Neodiprion lecontei: one gene and its partner. The protein of the gene in region 2 purifies or fractionates together with the protein of the main gene of each other region. This does not show direct contact. Links are inferred from orthologs where the notes say so. Each region holds a gene or a part of one and is shown on either strand. Other genes may lie near its edges.

What was found.
Region 1: the proteins of syntaxin-6 (region 2) and vesicle-associated membrane protein 4 purify together in Homo sapiens (co-immunoprecipitation; 5 studies listed by BioGRID and IntAct, counting the BioPlex papers as one, with this or other methods). This does not show direct contact. The link is inferred for Neodiprion lecontei from reciprocal best matches to the Homo sapiens genes STX6 and VAMP4.

The regions. Positions count from the first base shown.
Region 1 is NC_060262.1:41,729,037-41,739,752, reverse strand, and holds vesicle-associated membrane protein 4, read left to right. Parts: upstream 1-3,369; 5' UTR 3,370-3,389; intron 3,390-4,195; 5' UTR 4,196-4,264; coding exon 4,265-4,330; intron 4,331-4,474; coding exon 4,475-4,524; intron 4,525-4,655; coding exon 4,656-4,706; intron 4,707-4,941; coding exon 4,942-5,174; intron 5,175-6,811; coding exon 6,812-6,891; 3' UTR 6,892-7,064; downstream 7,065-10,716. Other genes in the region: UDP-glucose 4-epimerase, read left to right, coding at 41-170, 489-607, 682-972, 1,087-1,267, 1,437-1,712, 1,788-1,885; long-chain fatty acid transport protein 4, read left to right, coding at 9,783-9,904. UniProt on the Homo sapiens protein: Involved in the pathway that functions to remove an inhibitor (probably synaptotagmin-4) of calcium-triggered exocytosis during the maturation of secretory granules.
Region 2 is NC_060261.1:7,229,389-7,241,895, forward strand, and holds syntaxin-6, read left to right. Parts: upstream 1-6,017; 5' UTR 6,018-6,265; coding exon 6,266-6,300; intron 6,301-7,136; coding exon 7,137-7,339; intron 7,340-7,817; coding exon 7,818-7,912; intron 7,913-8,026; coding exon 8,027-8,086; intron 8,087-8,213; coding exon 8,214-8,446; intron 8,447-8,571; coding exon 8,572-8,666; coding exon of another isoform or gene 8,667-8,797; exon of another isoform or gene 8,798-9,036; coding exon 9,037-9,188; 3' UTR 9,189-10,895; coding exon of another isoform or gene 10,896-10,972; 3' UTR 10,973-11,286; downstream 11,287-12,507. Other genes in the region: probable medium-chain specific acyl-CoA dehydrogenase, mitochondrial, read right to left, coding at 180-332, 522-794, 875-1,015, 1,090-1,198, 1,480-1,610, 2,005-2,085, 2,568-2,668, 4,734-4,901 and 2 more. UniProt on the Homo sapiens protein: SNARE promoting movement of transport vesicles to target membranes. Targets endosomes to the trans-Golgi network, and may therefore function in retrograde trafficking.

The DNA of each region.
Region 1 (10,716 bases), on a different chromosome or scaffold from region 2:
AAAATTAGGAAGTAAGAATCAACACGAAGAAACGGAAGATATGTCGAGGAAAGGGCAGACTATACTGGTGACGGGTGGTGCTGGGTACATTGGCGCATTCACGGTTTTGGAACTACTTAATGCCGACTTCGAGGTGGTGGTTATTGACAATCTTACTAATGCTTACCAAGGTAAGATGGGAATTAATCAATATCTGAAAGTTATTTCCAAGCATTATGGAAAGAATACTCTCAACGCATCCTCCTCAAAGTAGCCTTATCGTTTTATCATGAGTTTAATTTCTCAATTATCGCTTCACTCAGCTGACAAATTTTATCATCCAGTTCCTATCGATAACATATGATACAATCTACCCTATTTATCTTTGGCTTTGCAAGTGCCTGAACTTGTATATAGCCTTACGCAATATGTTTGAGCAGCTGAAGAGTTTGTAGATGGCTCATTTAGCACACCGCTATATTAATATATTTTTTTACTTCATTCTGCAGCTTCGGATAAAAAGAAACCAGAATGTCTTCTGAGGGTGGAGGAACTGACACAGAAGCACGTAGCATTTCATTCTGTAGACATAACAAACAGAAAGGAATTGACTAGCATATTTCAACAGGTGAGTATCGAGTTATTCGCCATATTATTTACCACGATGTTTATAACAAACTATGAAGTTATTTTATTTTCTAGTATAAATTTGACAATGTGATACACTTTGCCGCTTTAAAGGCCGTTGGCGAGTCTGTTGCCAAGCCGCTTGAGTATTATAGAGTCAATGTTAGCGGTACTATAGTATTACTCGAGGTAATGCGAGAACACGGAGTCTATCGAATGATTTATTCAAGCAGCGCCACTGTTTATGGTCTTCCTGATAAACTACCATTAACCGAAGACATGAAAACTGGGGATTGCACCAATCCGTATGGAAAGTCTAAGTTTATGGTGGAGGAAATACTGAAGGACCTATGCGTTTCGGACAAGGTATACTTTTATGCTTGGTAGAAGAAATATTCGAGAATCTTTTAGTAATCACTTCATATTCACCTGGAAAAATATTCTAGAACTAGTCATTGAACACACACTGACTTCATCTAGGTTTGGTCCATCACATCCCTCAGATATTTTAACCCTGTGGGAGCTCATCCATCTGGAAATATTGGAGAGGATCCAAACGGCATACCGAACAACTTGATGCCCTACATCGCCCAAGTCGCTGTTGGAAAAAGAGAAAAGCTCTCAGTCTATGGAAGTGATTACAATACCCCTGACGGAACTGGTAATAATGAAGTCCGAGCCAGATAATGTCGTTCGATTTTTTCTACTTTTCTTCAACGGGGAATTTCTTCTTGTTCTCTTCTGTTGTGTGAAAAATTCTATAGTCACTTGAATATTACCAGGCTTTATCTTTCTACAAGTGTGAAATCTGCAAAATTTTTCATTTACAGGGGTTCGCGATTACATTCATGTAATTGATCTGGCAGTTGGCCACTTGCAGGCGATTTCCCACCAGCATCCCTCCGGCTTCCAGGTTTATAATCTCGGTACTGGAAGAGGGTATTCTGTTCTGGAAGTAATCAGAGCGTTCAAAGATGCTTCTGGCAAAGACATACCCTATGATATTGTAGATCGTAGACCAGGCGACATTGCGACAAGTTATGCCGATGCAAGCCGTGCTAATGCAGAACTGGACTGGCACGCAACACGGAATATTGATGACATGTGTAAGTTAGACTAGACTTTTCTAAATTAAAACACTTTATTGAGTGTCTTTTGATAAAAAATATCATTGATTACAGGCAAGGACACATGGAGATGGCAGCAGAAAAACCCGGATGGATATAAGAACGTGTCGTCCCCATTTTGCCCAGACGCCTGTTCTATAAAATCTAAATGAACAAATTAAATCTATAGATTAATAATTCCACCTAGACGGTGAACCTGCCACATCAGGTGAAATCGAAAATTGGATTGGATAATTTTACATCAGTTACATATATCTATGTGCCAGTGAACTGGAATGGATTTAGAATTTATTTATAATTAATAGGGTATAGAAAAGTGTATAAGTTGGGGATATCGTACTAAAATATAGCTTAAAATTACCAAAGACAAGACAGTGAGCTTAATAGTTTATCTAATTACGATTAAATCGATACGCACATTGTAATGTGTAATTTTAGAAGATGATAAATCAAAACTCAAACCCAGCTGACTTTACCGATAAAATTTTGAGCACCTCAGTAATGATACTGTGTACTTGTAAATTGGGAGGATTGAGGAGAAAAGATTCGATATTCAGAGTAGAACGATGACGTTTTTTTTTCTCGATATTGGTAAATTGTATCCTATACCTTCAACTTGAACAGAATTAACTCTGATGTACCATAAAGCTTGAACATTGTTTCATGACCTAAGTGACTAAGTTTGCTGTACGAGATTGCCTTGTATTGTAGGTGCAATATCGAATTCTACCAATTTCTGGGTTCTAGATAGTTTTTTAAATTATTATTATTATTATTATTACTATTATTGTTCTTGTTGTTAATAGTTGTAAAATATCTGTTGAAATATATCATAAATTAGTCATTTTAAGAAGGCAACAATGAAAGATACACATGTGTTCAAGAACATTAGTTCATATCAAACAATTCCCAGTTCTGTGTGTATTTTATTTCTAAAGACATCAATTAAATTTGTGAATTATAAGTTTATAATGTGCCATTATTGTTAAATAGTTGCAAAACCTAGCAAGATATCGTGTACACTGAGAAGTTCGAATAAATCATTTGAGAAAATTCATCTGCTTCAGTCTCCCATGTTTCAAAATTTGCGATGGCTTTAGATCATGGAAACGTATTCAGACTACGGATGCAGTGAAAGGAAGGTATAAACAGTATTTTCAAAAGTTATACAACTTACTCATGCTGCATTGTGACAATCAGCCCAGCCTCAACATCTGTGTCTCACAATATTTTTGTAACACGCGATGACGAACAAAATTTTCTACCTCTTGCTGTTCAATCCGTACGAGTGCATAATTGTGACACTCTCATTTGACCAGCGTATACTATGAATTAGTGAATATTTACACTCACAATTACTTTTCTAGTCGTGAAGAATTGCCATACGAGTTACTTAGATCAGTATATTCTTGATATCTCACTGTGACGTATGTTTTTTCCATTGTTATCGAAATAAATCTAAACTTACTGTTAGACATGAATAATAAATGAACCGTTTGTGACCCGCTTCTCGCTATTACCTCTAGTCAAAGTTTCGAACATGTAAATCGAAAGCGGAAGCATTGGGTAATCGTTGTATAGAATGAAGCATACTGGGCAGGCCTTCGATGATATGTCATGTCCGTTCGGAGGGTAAGGTGGGCAAAGTGTGAGTCGGTAAGTCTACTAATTTACGAGCACGGTTACGAGCATGCCGCCTGGGATTTGGTCGAAAGGTTCTCTATTCTTTTTCAACACATGAAATGGAAGAAGACAAGATATTTACGTGGTTATGTCAGTTAAACGTATCGGCATTGCAAAATGCAAAGTGACCAGCTGTGTACAACAATTGGATTTACCACGAATGAAGTATTGCTTGATACATTTTTGCCTCTTTGATTGTGATCACGGTCTTATAGACAGGTCTGGGCACTCCGGCTGTAAAACCGTGCTCGAAAATGACGCCGATGTTGTGAATTTTCGCCGCTAGCGCTAGTGAGGGAGAGGCCTACAGTACGCATACACTGGCCTCGGAGATTGCAGCGCTCCGGTCTTTGGTGCACAAATTGAGAAACACAGGCTTCAAGACGGTCACGCTGCGTTATATGGGAAGGGGCTTGGAGTGCCCAGACCTGTCTATAAGACCGTGATTGTGATCAAATATGCCGACATGGCCGCTACCATTAAAAATGTTACCCTTCATCCAAGTCTTTCACCAGAGGGTCTCTAATGATTTTCACTTATTGTTGCAAGAAACGAAATAATGCAACTAGTATGGATCAGTTCATTTTGAAGTAAATAAATGGGGGCGTTCAATGCTCCGTATGACCAGCTGTTGATGAATTGTTCAGCGCCGTTTGTTATTGTTGTCGCTCCGTCTGTCGTCTGCTGCATGAACGATTTCAGCGGTATGACAGATAAAGATGGACGTTGTATTTGGAATTCCTTGAGTTTTATTCTTTTAACCGTATCTCCACATCCAGTTTAAGGAACGACTGGAGTACTTGCCGTCCGGGACAAGTTTAATAGTATCCTGTGACATACCATCAAACATGCCTCCGAAGTTCAAGCGTAATGTGCCGCGTGACGACGTTGCCAAAGCCGACGACGTGGAGAAGGTGTGTTTGTTTTTTGTATGATTAATCTTAAGCCGTGAGTCATTAGCAACCGTCTAATGTTTACACGGTTCAAGACAGTCAAAAAGCTCAGAATTATTATTAGATGATGTCAGAATCTAATCCTTCTTTTGTTTATTTCCTTAGGAGACCCTCCTTGATCATGACAGCGATCCAGATGAAGAGATGCTTTTCAAGTATGCTTGAACGATCAATTATCCATACCATAGACATATGATCCATATTGTGAACTTACTTTTTTATCGCTGTTCATAATATGAGACTAAATTTCAATTCATCTGAGAAATTTTTTTGTTTATCGTTCCAGCCGCCCGAGTACTTCGACCAGTCAGCCATACAGAGATCGTAAAATGGACAGGTGGTGTTCATTTAATCATGATTTTTCTCTACCTCAGATTTTTCAAATGAACTGTTTTAAAATTACAATAATCGTGGAATAAAATGAGATAGAATTAGTTATCGAAGAGTTAGATTTGTTTCTGGCCTATTGCAAATTGTCATGCTCTCTGATAATCCAGAATAATACCGAAATCCAGATTAGAGTTACTGTTTATAATTGTATTCAATGAATTTTAATAATTTGTTTATTTTAGTGTTCGTATGCAGATAAAGGAAGTAACAGACGTGATGCGTGAAAATGTGCAAAAAGTGATGGAGCGAGGAGAAAAAATGGAAGACTTAGAAGTGGCCAGCGAACGGCTGACTATGGCTGGAAACGAGTTTCACGACTCGGCAAAGAAGGCACACCGCAGGGCTTGGATGCAGAACATGAAGATGAGAATCATTGTCGGCGCCATTATTCTGACAATAGTTATGAGTATTATTGGTGAGTAAACCTTGACTCGCTTTGACTCACCCTTGGTAACACGGCGTCACCAGCTTTTGCTGCAAGCTTCAGCAGGTGTGGCTTATTGAATTTTTTCGTGTAAGCAACTTTTCTGCCAAATGATGTCTAACTTTTCAATCTGAACAGCAAATGTTCCAATTCTAAGTTTTGAAATTTTATACATTCAATAATTTGAGAATTTTTTTAGTCACCATTACTGTCATTCTCTTACATTTTATATTTCACCACTTTTACATATTCATCTTTCCAGGAATCACTGTCACAATATTTTAATAACTGATAAGATGCATTTCATACCTTTATTGATTCTGTACATGGTATAAAAGGAAACCTAAGGCTTCTATGAAAAAGATATCGACAATTATGTTCATACTTTTAGCTGTTTGTCCGTTACTTTCTTGTACGCATTACGTACACGTTTATGAAATTTAATGAAATTTCCATGCATTACCAATATTCCTGGTGAAAAGTTAGTTTATAAAAAAAATCTCTCGGTCAGCACACATCAGTTCCTCAATCTGTTTTCTACATCTCCTTTGACCTCGCATTTGAAACTGTTCTAAAAGAAATATCTCGTTACCACTTCGTTTTAACGATACCCATCAATAATCTATATCTACATACTTTCATTCTGTTTATAACTTCCGCATTTATGTATATTGACCGATGGTTAATTAATTTATGATAATTACAATGCGATTGTAACCGATTCTCAATTGAAAAGCTTGTCACAGGTCTACTTCTGATGACAAAATCTTTCACCGAAGATTTATACGTATATAGGTGTTTGAGTTTTTTTCTTCGTTTCTTTTTTTCATTGATTTAACGAGAACTAGCCTCTAATGCCGCGCTGATGGTTCGGCCTGTATAATTTTCAGTTCTGGACATCTTGGTGCTTTACCTAGTCATCAGATAGTTAATTGGACTGGTGAAACAGCCTGTGTAGGAACCAAGGTATTGAGATCTGAGATATTGAATATTTCTATCGCTTATCGCCAGTGGTGTGAAATTACGTAATTATAATACCTGCACTACTGTATATAGATCACGCTACCAGATCCAATTTCCGCGAGTTAAAAACCTCGACTGCACTTGCAATGCCATGGAGCGTAATCACGCAACGCGGCATTGAAACCATTCGTTCCTGTTTCTGTAGATATTTTGTTGTCCAACATATCAATTATTGCTATAGACGGAAAGCCACTGATCTGATTGAGGTAGAGACTACAACATTTTATGGTCGCCAAAAAATTGTTGAGAAGGTCTAGCGGTCATAAATTATCATTTAAACACGCTGCGTTTTTAGAAGTTTTTAGAAGAATTACGCAAGTAATAATTCTAGGATGGGATTGGCCATTCTACTTGAAATACGATTCATAAGGATATAAATTTCTAACGTAACTACGATCATTTAGAAAAAATAAATTTCGATCATGTTATCAAATTTTGTGATAATGAATGCGAAGCAAATTATACCCTATATGCGCCTTTTTTCTTTACACTGGCAGACTGAATTTCTACCGGATTTATCCGTACACTTCAGTACAAAATATATTTCTAGGTGCGTTGATTGAGCTTTCATTTCATTGAATAAATTTAAAAATTTCAAATTCCAGACACCGCTCCACCGCTTTACGATGAAAAAAAGGATATCATTTTTCGTGTTCCAGGTACTTTGATCAGATGGTATTCCTGACGTCATGCGACTGCCTTCCAATACGTATCATAATTTCAGTTTAAATAATTGTAATATATTTTGTGATAACGAACTTTACTCCGTGAATTAGCATGTAGCCAAAATAAATGTTATTCTTGTAACTATGTATAAATAAACGACGTATCTCTACATACGTATAATTATGTTCGAAATTCCACGAGCTACCAACCTACCTACCTATTTGTCTGATACTTCTTCTACCCAATAGCAACTATATGGGGCTGTTTAATAATTCATTTTGTCCGTTCAAAGTTTAGCCTGTTTCAAAACTCTCTGCGAAGTTTCTTCGTTTTACCTTCAAGCAAATTTCATGGGGGCTAAAGTAAAGATATGTTTGCGAATAGAATTTAAAATTGCACCGCGAAAAATGATGCACTCTGACAGTGAAATTTGCAAAACACTTTGTCTTCAACGATTTCCTCCAAATGAGTTTCTGTAATTATGAATTTTGATTGGCGATTTGCTTGTTTTATTTAAAACGAGGAATCTGTTAAAAATCGCTGAATACGATAATTCACGACACTTGACTATAAATCTGTCTTTCATATAAGTTCAAAAGTTGATTAGCAGACAAACGGGCGCATTGGAAAAATCTAACGTGAATTAAAAATTTTCTGTTTAACAAGTCCAGTTTCTTGCTTATTTGGTAGAGTATAATTTCCACTTTGCCTTGATTAGATTATCATAATCGTGCGTACATGTATAATATGTATGAGAACGTTTTTTCCAGGATTAATTTGCATCGTACGCGTACTTGGAATATAATGTTTAAAAATGATTGAAATTCCGAGTGAAAGTAGAACGAGTAGATCCAGGAATATGTCAATTAGCCGAAGGCACATGTATGCTTTGTACCGTTCATTTACATGCATTGGAAGTGTTGGTTCCATTCGTTTCGTCTTCAACTCGCTGGACATGTGACTACCACGCAAATAAGGCCACAGGCCTTTACTGTCACCTAAATTATTTACAATGTTAATAATATATCAATAGCATCAAACCACTGCTAAGCCTCGATTTCGTACCTATATGAAATTGACGGATCTACGAACGCTGGTTACGAACTTAATCACTGATTCCTAAGTGCTTAAGACGTTTGGGTGAATTACTTCTGATAATTATAAGAGGCTTTGACAATCCCTCAATTATTCAACGGTATAATTCTACGCAAGAAGTGAGTAGGTCGTTCTCTGACCTAAAAACTGATTGAATATACGCAAGATTGTCAATTCATGACCAGCATATTATTTGTCCGTAAGATCGTAACTTTGTAACTTTTAAACGATTATTCCAGAATGTGGCGCCAAACTGGTGACAAAGTTACAGACCATTTTACCGCCGCGTTCGAGTGTCTTAATGGGTTATCCCTTTTTTTCGTATCGTCGAATTTATTGTCCAACACTGCATAGTGATTATCGCTGAATCACAATACTGTTAGAGAAATCGCGAGGCATATACAGTGCGTCATTACAACCGTTGCGGCCACTATGTGTGTTTATTTTGACGCAGTTTTATTGCAGGAATTCAAATTATACACAAGTATTTCATCAAATACTTTTTTCATCGATTGTCAGAAACTCCCTTTGTAAAAATACTTTGTCTAGACGGTCATGGGCTACGTTCACATGTATCCTCATCGTCTGTACTTCTTTTCCACTCGCCATGATTTCACTCAATTTATTTCTGTCTACGTTCAATGGTGCTAGTAGAGTTAGCAATCTGAACGCCTCTCTAGTTTGAAAAAAGCAAATGAATGCAATGATGCAACGGAGAATCAAATGAGCTTATGGGCGTGTCGCATTTCAGTGAGGGAAATTCATGTCAATGGAAACCGCACTTAATAATATTGAGCTATTAGACGACTGATTACTGGAAAAATTTGCGACAACCTGATTACAATATTTCGGAAAATAAAGTTATTTTTCCAATTTGCTACGATAGCCGATATATATATATATATCGCTATATATATATATATATATATATATATATATACATATAACGTAAAAGGTATAGTTGAGGTATTTTTGTCGTATCATCAAGATTCAAATTTAAAATACGTGATAGTGATTCAGCCTGAAAAGACCTGAGAATTACGCGATTTGTCTAAATATAATATAGAATAAACAGATAACGAAACGAGGATAACTATATACACACCGAGGAAAAGAAACGAAGAACGCTTAGGTATTAGGCAGAAGAATTTGTAATTAAAAAGAATTTTTTTTCCACCCTCGGATGAACGTGAAAGATTGCAAATTCGGCAGCGTAAAATTATCCGCTGGTTGTATATCCGATGTCAGCTTGTTATTGGCCGCGGAGTAAGTAATACATAGTTATACGTACCTACATACTTACAAAGTAGTCCCTGTGTATGTGCCGCGTGCATGCAGCGCGTCAGAGTGTAAGGATGAAGATAGGTGTACGTGTTACCCCGGCTCCGTTTGACAGCAGAAAATTGTCATATGAACGGCAATTGGCGTTCGTTCGTTCGTTCGCTCTTAGCGTTGGTGCAGGCAGCTTGTGTACGTATGTGGTCACGTGCACACGAATTCCTGGTTGAATGAGGGGCTATACGTGCAGGCAGGGAGCTTACGATCAGTTATCGTCGTGTTGTCGTCGCGGAGCGGAGTAGCTCAATGACAAAAGGACTGCTCGCGTAGTGATTCGTCGTTTAGTCGCAATTGTGCCGTTCTTTCCGACGCGTCGTTATTCCCTTAAAAAGTACTCGTCTCCCTCTGTTTCGTCCGCGGGAGTGATTTTGGCCCGCGCGCCACCTCGCGATTTTTTTCTCAATATTAATTGCGCTCCACGCAGGTGCGATCTTGAGTTTTTTCCCTGGGACCGGGCCGACCGGAACCTCCTTCACAATGACGGAGCTTAATAAGCTTCTGTTATCCGTCGGGGCCGTGCTACTCGGAGGTTTCCTATTCACCGGAAATCGACGAAGAATGCTTTATATACTCTACAAAACTCTACCAAGGGATATTCTGTGAGTTTATGAATGTTAACACAAACCTCTTGACACTCGAGTCTTCTTGCGTACTCTATACCATATATATATATATATATATATATATGTATACATACTACATATATATATAGTATTATTATATGCGCCCGCCTCGACGCATCCGCGACGCTGGAATTTCGTGTGGCAGCCGTGGGGCATAATGTTATATTACACTCCAATGCAGAAATTTTATGCTTTCTTAATGTGTACGGGCCTCGGAGTTGCAACCTTGGTATTATAGGTACGTGAGTGTACTAACTTGGGTGAATATCAGTTACCGATAATAAATTATTATAGTCTACTTTAACTAACGAATAGCTGTTCGTACGTTCCGAAATTGAAAAAATTTGAAACCGTAAAGCAGCCCACGCGTATCTTGCACCGGCCTAGTTATATTTTTATCATTAGACCATTGTAGAAAATTGCTTAAACATCGGAGAAAATAAAAGCATTGATGAAGAAGCTGGAAGAGTATGAATATAAGGATGTGCTTCGGAGTACAATCAGACAATTCGAATCTATCCGTTTAGCAGACAAGCAAACAGAGTAGCATTAACTTCTGCTTTTCCGTTCGCCAGTATATTTCATCTTGAATTAGACACAAATGACTGCGCTGCTGCTGCTCTCAAGAATGGGGCTTGCAAGAGGATGAAACCGAGTTACCTAATAGCGACTCATTCGTCCCGCGAAGAGAAAGAAAATACAATTTGATTCCGACTTGGGTTCCACAATGTAACACGTGTTCAGCAGCGGGAAGATAAAAAGCATCAGTCACAGCGTTTCCTTTTCGC
Region 2 (12,507 bases):
TTATTTCACTAAACGCCCATATTTAAGACACACGCTATTTCATTAGCATTATGAATTCTGTAAGAAATTTTGTATGTACAATTGTATTGGTGGAAACAATGATGCATTGAGAATTATCTCAGCATTCTTGGTGCAATGAGATATTATTATGATTTGTACATGTGATTGATATGATTTGATCATTTACCACCTTGTTGAGCCTCTGACAATAAAGCACGTGATATAATCATTCTTTGAATTTGAGCTGTACCTTCGTATATTTGATAAATCTTAGCGTCTCTCATTAGTTTCTCTACAGGGTATTCAGTGTTGAAACCACAGCCGCCAAATATCTGTAAAGAATCACACGTTGATACTTGGTGATTATACCTATTGGTGATTAAACACTAAGTAGTTTCAAATCAAACGTAAAAAACTGAATTCTACGTTCAACTTGCCATTTTGTACTTATGGATATGAATAAAAACTTTTTACGCAATGCTTATCGAATATACAATTGCAATTCTGGACTTGTGACAAACCTGTACTGCATCTGTGGCGCACTTATTAGCCACGTCTGCGGCATAACATTTAGCAATACTGGCTAGAAAGGTGTTCCTTTGGCCGTTATCGACAGCCCAAGCAGCTTTCATCCAAGCTAGCCGAGCTGTTTCGATTCCAATCGCCATATCAGCCAACAGGAAAGCTACTGCCTGATGTTCGGCAATGGGTTTGCCGAAAGTTTTTCGTTCCAGAGCATACTTGGTAGCTTCGTCCAGTGCTCTTTGCGCCAGTCCAACTGCACCAGACGCAACCTTGCAACGATGAAATAGTTTTCAAAGAATATGAAATTCCACGACAGAATTCTATTGAAGGAAAAAAAATAAACAGTTACCGGAGGACGAGTTTTGTCAAAAGCTCCCATTGCAATCTTGAAACCTTGACCCTCACCGAGCAAGACATTCTCCTGTGGGACACGTACATCTTCAAATGTGATCATGCGGGTATCAGATGCTCTTTGCCCCATATTCATTTCCTGAAAGTTTTATCCCTGAAAGTTACTTTTCTAACCGTGGGGTAACAAGTAAGTCATCCGATCATTAAACTTACTTTACGTCCAGGAGTTAGACCCGGTGTATCCCGCTCGACGATGAAACCAGTAAATGCCTTACTAGTCGGTGCTTTAGGGTCTGGATTAGTGCGAGCCAGAACAAAGTACCTATGAAAATGGAAAAATTGAATAGGATTAGAGTTCTTTTAATTTTGTATTATTAGTAATAAACTTCACATTAAATCAAAAATGCCGTTATAAACAAAGTCATGGATTTTCAGGAATATCAACTCTCTTACCACCATTCCTTTTGTCACAATTCATTCTATTAATCTATTCATTCAATTATTTTAGGCTGAACTGAATTTCAAAGTGCTTAAAATTGTACTTGCTAGATTGTAAATACACGTAGTTAAATTTAAGGAGTAAATTTCTACCCTCAATATTACCAATTGGCAACACCGCCATTTGTTATCCACATTTTAGTGCCATTGATAACCCATTCATTTCCTTTTTTCTCTGCTCGAGTTTTAATGGCGCTTACGTCAGATCCAGCCCCAGGTTCGGTTACACAGTAGGCCTGCCATGAACGAATCATTATCAATTTATTCACTTACTATCATAGCCTGAAGAGTTCAAGTTATATCTTGGAACTCGTGGAATATGGCAATTGCCGACCCTTACAAAAAGTAAATTCTTCAATCACACAGATTTCCAGCAAATTTCTCGCGATATCTACACGCGTTCAAAGGTTATTCACAAGTCTCAGTACCTTTGATCCACTCTGTATGAAATGTGTAGCACGAACCTTGGTATTCAAATTGTGATGTGATTGAAAAAACAACCGAATTAAGAGATGAAAACATTTTTCATTAATGAGTTTCTTATGTTGAGTATTAAAACACTAGTAAATTAGTATATACTATGCATAGAAGAATGACACACTCTGGTTCTTGAATAGAAGGGTAACTTACCGCTAGAAGTGGTTCGTCAATGAGTCTTCCCAAGTATTTCTTTTGTTGTTCTTTAGTTCCAGCAATAATCACAGGCATTTGCTATGAAATCAATTTTAACACATATTTAGGAAATACGGAATGTACTTTAAAACAGCAACAACAAGCGCAATAATTTTAATGTGACTAAGCAAAGGTTGTGCTTCAGTAAACTGATATACAGATGAACCTCATTACCAGATTTAAGGACATAATAGATGGTGCATAGACATTCTCAATTAAGCTGCAGCAATTTCTTACACAAAACAGAAGAGACAGAGAGCATTTATTTTCTTTCCCTACTTCGGATCCTCATATGCAAAAACTATTAAAATTAGAAGATGAAAATACTATAGAGTGAAATTTTGGCAATAAAGTTTAAAAAATATAAATTTGCTCATTCAAGACTGCACTGTAATTTACTGTGGAAACCAGTATGAGAGTATTGTTGATCGTGGTGAAAGGATGTTAATGTTTAGAATTAATTCATAAGTTAGTCAACAGACAAAAAAATTAGTTTTCGATCGCGAGCAGAATGAACTTACGCCGAGACCTGATCCCTCCATTGCAGTCTTTATCCCTGTACAGCCATAGGCAAGCTCTTCCGCCACCATGCAACCGTCAAAAATACCACATTCTAATCCTCCTGGAATGTACCAAAAGCCATTTAATGTATCACATGTCATGGCTATTTTGGCATATCGCACGATTTTCGTTTCAATCTCGAAACTTCTCGTTATTGGGTAATGTTTTTTCCCTAATATATCTATTGGACCCACATGTCAATAAGTAATTCATAAAATATTTGATATCGCTTCGATGCTCCCATACAAGCCTCCAAATGTAAAGTAGAACAATACGTAATTACTAAGTAAGATAACCCACCAAGAAATCAACACTGATATTAATGATACGATGAATGACGTCCAACTCCCTTCGGCATGAATCCATATATCAGCTCAAGAACAATGAATTGCGATGGAATGTTACATTCACAAATGCCACTTACTCCTAATTTTGTGGATCCAATGCCACTAGCAATACCAGAGCATCCGTATGCAAGTTCCTCTCCAATCATACAAGAATCAAACGTATTCATTCCAATACCACCTGAATGTCAAATTAGTACTGTATACAATGTTACAACATTGTTCCATCTATTGCTATGCAATGAGCAACAAGTACTATGCTCATAATTTCCTATCGATAGTATTCTGTTTGTTTTGTTAACATAAGAATTCATAACATTGAAACATAAGATTCATTCAGTAATAGTGCGTAATAATAAAATGACTGAGGACATAAAAGTATAGTCGCCATGATAATGTGATGGACTGAACGTCACGGAAAGCCTGCAGAACTGTCGTGAGTATTAATTAACACTTTGTAGAAAATAACTATGTCAACTTATATAATTTGGTAACAATCGGAAATCCACAAAAAGCTGAAAGAGGATGAACTAACGAGCCTGGATGAAACGAGCTGACTGCTCCATAAGCTTGGATCAAATTTTTAAGAATTCTTTTTCATCTCCGGCAGGAACTTACTCCTAAGTCTGTGGATCCAAGACCACCAGCTATACCGGAACATCCGTATGTGAATTCCTCACCAACCAGACACGTCTCAAAAATACCTATTCCCATTCCTCCTGAAGATTCAATTGTAATTGAAAGTGACCGTATTAATTTGGCTTTGAGAGAGAGCAAATTGGTTGTATAATTGTACGATTCCATGTTGATTCCTCATTCCCAATTAAAAATTGAGTATGAAGTAGATACTTCTTTTGATCTTCTGTTTTATTTGACTGTGGTAAACTATCAGCAATTATTATTATATAATGGACAATTTCGTATAGTTGTAAAAACGATTCATTGCGGTATTTTGGCATATGTTAGGATACAGCACAGGAATTGATGTTGAGAAATGCCGTTTAATTGTAGTCTGGATGAATATTTTGCAAAAAAAAAAAAAGGAATGCAGATATTTAAACGAACACAAGTTTTAGAATTCGAAAAGAAATTTAACTTTCGTTATACCACATACAAAAAAACTTGTATCTGATCTTGAACAAGTGTGTGAATTCTCACATTTAAAATAAAATTTTCAACCATCCATGGTAAACCAACATCAAAATATACTTAATCTTCTGATACATTATCAAACATATGGTTCAAATATCTTGACCTTGTTATTGTTCAAATATTATTGTTTTAGCATGACAAATCATTGATTAACAGATATCTTGCAGAGCGATCATGTACCACTATTCTGATTAGATAAATATTACTGCAAAACAGATTGGGGCACGTTTGATTATCAGAGATATAAAATAATCGCACATCACTATGGGTTAAAGTTCAAAACAAACTTACCATCCTAATTATTTCAATTTGGAATTAGCAGTTGTTCAAAAGGTTCAAGATTCAATATATTAAATGGTTGAAACGCTGAACGTTTATCTGAATGGAAATAATAATGGGATTATACTATGCCAGATATATTGGAAAAACTTTGAACTGTGTACAAACAGTATTTGTCAGAATCGATACGAATCGATAGATTTGTTATCAAATTTGTAGAGAAATTGGTTGAAAAAACTTGTGTGGTATATGTTGCTTCAATTGTCATTCATTTGGATGCCCCCAGCTTCAAATACACGAAATATCATATCATCGGAAGAAAATTCTTAGCCAAGGATATTTTGAACATACCGCAATGCTGTGGAATGTGTCCGTTCATGAGTCCCAGACCCCAGGCTTTCTTGACAATTTCCCATGGGAATTTTCCAGTTCTATCGTGCTCCGCAGCTACAGGAATTATTTCTTCTCTTGTGAACTTCCTGGCAAGTTCCTGCATTTCTCGCTGCGTCTCAGAAAGCTCTGAACAAAAAATATAACAACATTGCTTCGGCACTAATTCTGTACTCAGAGTTTAAGTAATCAGAACAGTTTTATTTTCTTCGTAGAAAGTAAAGCATATGCAGCTTGACATTTTTCCCATTGGATTACTCATGATACTAAACTGTTAAAATATAATGTAATTAATGTCAAAATTTAATACTAACGGAAATTGTAGCCATTTGGTACTGCAGCTTGAGAAGAAAAAGACCTGACTGCTGCTTGTCTCACTGACCTACTAATCACCTGCAATTAGACGAACAAATGAAGGAAAATAGTTTGGAATATCTGATGACGATGCAATTATCCCTACTAATATTTTAAACCGTGCGTACAGTCTTGAATATTAGTGAAAGCACACAACGTTCGACGGGGAAATTATACCTGGCTCAAAGACATCCTGAACATAAACGAGTCGATCGACGTTGGAGAAACGATTGAGGTGAGAGTCCAGCTACAACAGTTCAAAAGTTTTGAAACTCGAATGGACTTTAACCCAGAGATAAATACAATCAGCGGACAACGGTGATGGCCTACAATGACCAGTTTTCCATCTGGAGCTAAATACGTATGTAAACTGGTATAACCCAGTATAACCAGAATTGGATTGGAGCAATCTCTTGTATCAAGGCTGTCATTGGTTAATTCATTTGAACTTGGCCGGATTTAGCACTAGATGGCAACGCAGTTGATAACCAAGTATCACATTTGGCAAGAGCATCCAATATACCGCTAAGCGGTGAAAAGCGCGCCTTTTAAAAGTAGAATGCTTGTACTTAATGCGGAGCAATAAGTGCCTTGGAATAAGTGAATGAGATGTAGTGAAATACAAGTAAAAATGAAGTAATTTCTACGGAAACATGTCAAAATAACTTTTATATCTGATGCATGAAAGTCTAAGCTGTCTATCCAATTGTCCGTTTAACGCATCGGGGAGTTTTTAGAGCTGGCAGCTGATTTCAGAACGCACCCTTAGCTACGTCGATTTGTAGAGCTTACAAACACGCGGTATATTTGAGAACTCGCGTTTCGGCCAATCGAAACTCGCGGCTTGTGGCTTGAGCTGGGTCGAGCATCGATCGTACACTGCCATCTAGAAGATCTTTGTAAGGGGTAAACGTCAAAATCGAATAAATAGTCGTCTGCAGTGGCAGACGTCATAATACACGACAGATGAGTAGAGTGGGGTGCGAGCAAGTGTCAATTTGATTATTGTTGTCGGTTTGATATAACAGTGCGGATTACAGTCTGTTATTTACTACCGATGATTGAGAAATTACGCTTAAAAATTTTTGCGGGTGCCACGGGGAGGCGAGAAGGGCCACCCTTTTAATTTCGGGGAAGGAATGACGCTGGAAGACCCCTTCTTTGTCGTCAAGGAGTAAGTTCACAAAATGGGGCTGACGTTATCAATATTTTCTTTGTTTTCTATACTTCTTTTATTCACACTTCAGCTCAAATACGCTGTTGCATCTGATATACTGTCAAATCACCTGGTTTACTTTTTTCTAAACAACAGGCAAAATTGTCATTCATCATTTACTATGTTTGTCAATACACGCGTTTCATGTGTGAGAATCTATTTAAATATCTCGGAATAAATTGCAGCACACGTTTTAAATTTTCGTAAACCGATATGTAAAATTACAAAAATTATTTTTGTCGTTTCTTCGTGTTCAAAATGTATCTTAGCATTATATTTCGCTAATGTTGTTAAAAAATAGCTGCGCTGCTTCTTGACAAAAAACGAATAATCATTATCAATTGTCTTCGTTAATATTGAATAAGGTCGTATAGTGTATACTCTGTGGATTTGCAACAATTTAGATTCGTATTATTCTTACTATTATCGTCATTTACAATCCCACAACTTATACCCTGCACTTAATTATTAAACATATTAATCGAAAATTCATATGTTCACAATATTTGAAACGAGAAATAGATCAAGAGTATCAACTGTGAAAAATTTTGTAAATATATTGAATAAATGTCAACAATGTTTCGTATTCGAATTCGAACCGAAACACAGTAAAATATTTTAATTGGTTTCCTTAATAGATACACGGGTTGTAACCGATGTAAATAAATAATTTCAAATGAAGCAAATTTATGGAAGAATCAGAAAGTTACATGGCTACGATCTGGTTGAACAATTTAAATAATTTTTATGTAGTTAAATTTTGTAAGGATGTAAAACAAAAAGTTGTCGTTTAGCGAGGTGTGCAAGGCTCTAAATAAAACACGAGCATTATACGGGCGTTGGACAGAGTTACAAGATGGGTCGAATGCAACAACAACTCCAACTGTAGTCGGAGGACTTCCGGTTTCGCGTGAAGAACTTGAGTGGACGACCACGGAATTGCGGAACGCTCTCAGGTCCATCGAGTGGGATTTAGAAGATTTAGAGGATACGATCTATATCCTTTTACTATTCTATGCTTTAACCTCGTGAAATTGTGTGTCAATAATAAAAAAAAAATAAGCAACAACTTTATGTATATTAATTTTCACGGTTTATTGTCGACGAAAATTCTTAAACGTCAGATGAAGCTTTATTAGATGTTTATTAGCGTTCACCGTCATGCCTGTAAAGTGCAATTCAGCACAAAAAAAAAAAAAACTTGTCTGTCATAATTTTTGCGTAATCGACAATAACGCGCCGAAAATTGTATTGATATTGAAAATCAAGTAAGTTGAACCATAAATTAATTATTGGAAATATTTTACAATATTTTTGCTCTTGTGATAACCTTACAGGGAAGTCGGGAATAGGCTAAGTTGAGAATAAACGTTTGTCTTTACTGGTACTATTTCCTTCACAATATTCTGCACGTTGACAACATGTTTATACCGTTCAAAGCTTAGCAAATATGTAAGCCTTAACTTCACACATACGTATCGTAGAAAAGAATCCAAACAAATTTAAAATCGATAATAAGGAATTAACCATCCGAAGAAACTTCATAGAACAGACTCGTGAGATGGTTAAGGTGAGGTTGTGCAGTTAAGGACTAACGTTTTTCTAAAATTTCCATTACCAACATTACATGACTCATCCTTCCATACTTCCAATGCACAATTGAGAGCCTCGTTCATTTTTTTAGATTATGAAAGAAAAAATGAATGTAAGCAGAGGACGAGACCGTGATCATACCGCGAGACAGGTCAGTATTCTTAACTGAAAACAAAGTATTGAATGCAAAAAGAAATTATTCGTTGATTTGTTAAGATTGTGCAATGAATGAATCCATAAAACTAGGAAGAAAAGTTGTTTATACCTGATTTTTACAGCCCCTGCTGGACAACAGTCCAGCTAGAGTTCCCGTCACTCATGGAACAACAAAGTACAGTAAGCTGGAAAATGAAATGGACAGTCCTAACCGGCAGTTCCTTGCGGACACGCTACAGCAGCAAAGCACAATGATGCATCAACAAGACGAGCAACTAGATATGATTGGAGAAAGTATTGGTACCCTGAAAACCGTCTCTCGTCAGATAAATACAGAGTTAGACGAACAAGCTGTGTAGGTCTGACACTGTATTTAAAAAAAAACAAATTCAATAAGAAGTTGATATTTGATGCTAGTATGACAGTTCACAAGTAGCAAAGTTTCCTTAATGAAATATTTAATTTTTTAAATACTTCCAGAATGCTAGATGACTTTGGAAATGAGCTGGAAGTAACAGACTCAAAATTGGATGCGACAATGAAGAAAATGGCAAAGGTCCTTCACATGAGCAATGGTAACTATAACAATTACATTCCTGCTCCCACCACCTCATCGTCTACAGCATCCGACCTTATTTCTAAGCCTTCCTCTTTATCCTCTTTATCTAGTACCTTAACAAACTGTTTCTTGTGTTCCGCGGAATAGGACATTGGTAATAGTGTTCTAGTCATGTAAACATAAGCTACCAATCCGTGTAATTCCTAATTCTCAAGTTGATGTTGGCTTGATTTAACAAAAAATTTCAATTTAAACGAAACATTTTTTAACAAAGTTTGAAAATCAAATTATATTGTAATAACAGCAGCTTATGTTTACACAATTAATATACATTAACCAGTTCGGTCTGTGCAGTATCACTTTGCACAATTTTAATTTTTGTTTAGTGCATCGCAAGGTCAGAGAGAAAAATACGTGCAATTTAGCAAAATCCGATAACCTAAATCAATTGAGGGCTGAATGGATTAATGACATGACACTAAGAGTTTACAGTTTACAGCAGATTAGCCTGATTAAATGGTATTTTCCTCGTCTATAAAATAACACGATTCTTGGGGGTGAATATATGATTGAATACATTGAAATGAATGCATGTATTCCATTTACATGGCATAGTCTTACTCAAACGAAACACTTTGGTGCACATGGGCTACCAATTTCGACAGTATCCGGAATTTCGTTCTTAGCCACCTTTCAAGAAAGTAACTCAGATTTATATCTCCTATCTCTTGATGTGGGAATGTATAACACTGGGTAAGTTATAAATTCAAATCTAGTTTCCATGGCGAGTACTGTCAAAATCAGTCACCATGCATCCAACAAAAAGTGTCCTGTTGCAGCAAAACTATTCCACATGTGTGTAAAAAAAAGTCCTTTACCTAATATGTGCTTTAGACAATAATGTACCATCTATTTGAACAAGAAATGGTAAAGAAAAATTATAATGTAACTTTTCAAGAGTTTCAGCTAGTCAAAACTATGACGGTAGGTATTTTAAATACTATCATCCCAAAAGTTGTGTCAATATAATTACCTATTAGACATGTGGTATGTACATAGTTACCACTGTTAAAGGTCAGAGAAATATTGAACGGGATGTACACATGAGTTTTCATTTAGTAAGAGTAAAATTATACGTAGAGGAATCAGCAAATGGCATCAAATTTGCATAATGAAATAATGTCATTCCTATACCTAGTCTAACAAGACCTGAAGTTACAAAAATTTGTATACATATAGCATAGTGTTACGTGAGGTATTAAAATCATGTTGTTGACAACTACTATGATTATAATACATATGTTATGAAACTGTTGTAGAACTGATCGAAGCGTTGATTCAGAATTTATAGAACCGTAGAATCTCAGCTGATCATTCTGTTGTTGCGACTTCGGAAAATGTACTTGTATACCTAGGTGAACAGATAAAACGTTGATAGTCTCTGGGAAGCGGATGTTAACTATTGTAAATGATGTTTTTGAAAGAAATTAGACATTCAATCCAAATATTCGTATTTGTTGAGAGATTTTAGAAAACTGTAATCAGTGGTCATTGTGACAAACTGAAAAGTAATTCATCTTAATCGAACACCAAATGATTACATACCACACTGAGTTGTATTGTACCCCAGACTACATATTCTAGTAAATTAAAACTTCCTTAAAAGTTGCAAAATATAAATTGAACACGTTTGCAGCTAATTTAAAGAAATGAAGACGATGCTGTTCTGAAATATAATCCTGACAAAATCAACATTGTTAACTAGGCTCATTTTCAAACGCATATCAGTTTTAGATTTTATCAGTTACCATTTTTGAATAGTTAGATTTCTGCCAAAAACAACTTCTATAATATGGAATTTAGAGATGCTTGCAAATAATGAATGTTCAAAGGAATGTAAGAAGAAAATCTACACGCTAACTCTAACCATTATGGTATATATATACTGTACTGCTTGGCAGTGGTTTAATTTTTTGATAAGTTTTGATTACACCTTTTAAGTTTAAAAACACATGAGTCCCCAAAATGTTGTTGAATATTTAAACAATTTGAAAGATTTGATATTACAAAAATAATAATAAACTTCAATGTTAAGGTCTTCTTCTGATTGTTGGTATTAAAGTTTAAACTAGGGTAAGACTTATTTGTGTTTCAAATTGTTACATATTGTCTCTCACAAAATCAACAAAATAAAAAATGTAATTTTATAAGTGGCGCATGTGATGTTACTTTCCGTTTGTTTTAGATCGGAGACAATGGGTAGCCATTGGCGTCTTGACTGCGATATTGGTACTACTAATTATTTTGTTTATAATTAAGTGAATAACTTATTTCATTTTACAGACTGTTCATCAATTATAGTGATTAATTTTCTTACTAGAATTTAAATGTAATCCAGTGTACACGTATACATATTACATACATATATGTATATGTGTATTATATATATATGTATATTAACTTTTGTTAAACAGCATATTTATTTACCAGAGTACCGTTTTACCGAAGATAAATAAAAAGATATTTACGTTGTTGTTAGAAACAAAGTGCCATATACCATACATATAATGTTAACTCGTCCTTTGTAAAATGGAAGAAAAATCAATATCTCGTAAAATAAAGGTAGTCACCTTGAATTTTGACAAAAAATATTTTTTCTTTTCTTCTTAGTTGTAAAAATTATCAATTCCTGTTAATTTTTTGACATCATAAAGCTGTTACTTATTTCAATTTCGCGTTTCAATTATTCTCATAAAAAACAAATCTCATACGAGGCCATACAAAAATTATGAATCATTGTAATTATTTTTTTAGTCTTATCAGAGTACAATGATTTTATAATTGTTTATTATTTTATATGCTACATTTTGTTCTAAACTATAAACTTCGTACAAATGTTTTTTGTTTTTTATTTATAATTTTATATAAGTAAAAAGTTTAAAGAGTAAAGTATTAAGTATTATGAATTGCCAAAAAACACCGGTAATCAAAGTTTCTAAAGTTGGCTGAAGTACCAGTCATTAATTTAGATTACCAGTTGTTCTTTCTTACTTTGTCGGTTCAAGGAGAGCTGAAACAGCCAACTTGACTGCACATCCATTGACAGATGATCCATACACAATGTTACAATGATTGATATAGATGTTCAACAATGACAAGGCTCATCATAACGCATTCGTCAAATGAGTTATAGTCTTCGTACGAGACTCTAAAGTTTCGGGACCTATTCTAAGATGAGTTTTGAAAACGTGTGTTCTGAGCTTTAGAAAATGAAATAAGGAAATCCTTTAAAGTTGCAGAGTATAGTTGGCAGAGGTATATTATTGAAAATTTTATAATGTTGAATAGGGTTCTATTATTTAAATCTTTGGTATAATAATCATGATTGCAGAGATTATCATTGTATAAAAAGTATCAACGTACTTAACTTCAGAAAATACAAAGTGAATGTTTTAACTTATCTGTTAAATAATAAAAGCTAGTAATTAATGTACAATTAAAATAGTTTTTTTTAATGTTTTCTTTTTTTTTTTGTTGTTATTGTTATTTTCTGATAAAACATTGTACAAACTGTGAAATTTTGTATAATAGAGAATTGAAATCTCGAAGTTAATGACAATAGACATAAAAAACGGTCAACTGACTGTTTTAACATTATTATTACATTGTTCTATTAGTAAATTAGCGTCATATTATTGAAAAACTCGAAGTTCATTTTTCGTCTATTAAAACATGTCGTTTTTATGTTGTTTTTCGCCTATTTTCTTTCAATTTTTCGTAATTTTTTTCTGAAAATCATATTTTTGCATTCTCAGTGTTCATTTGAAATGTTTTTTGAAGCATCATGCGATACTGGA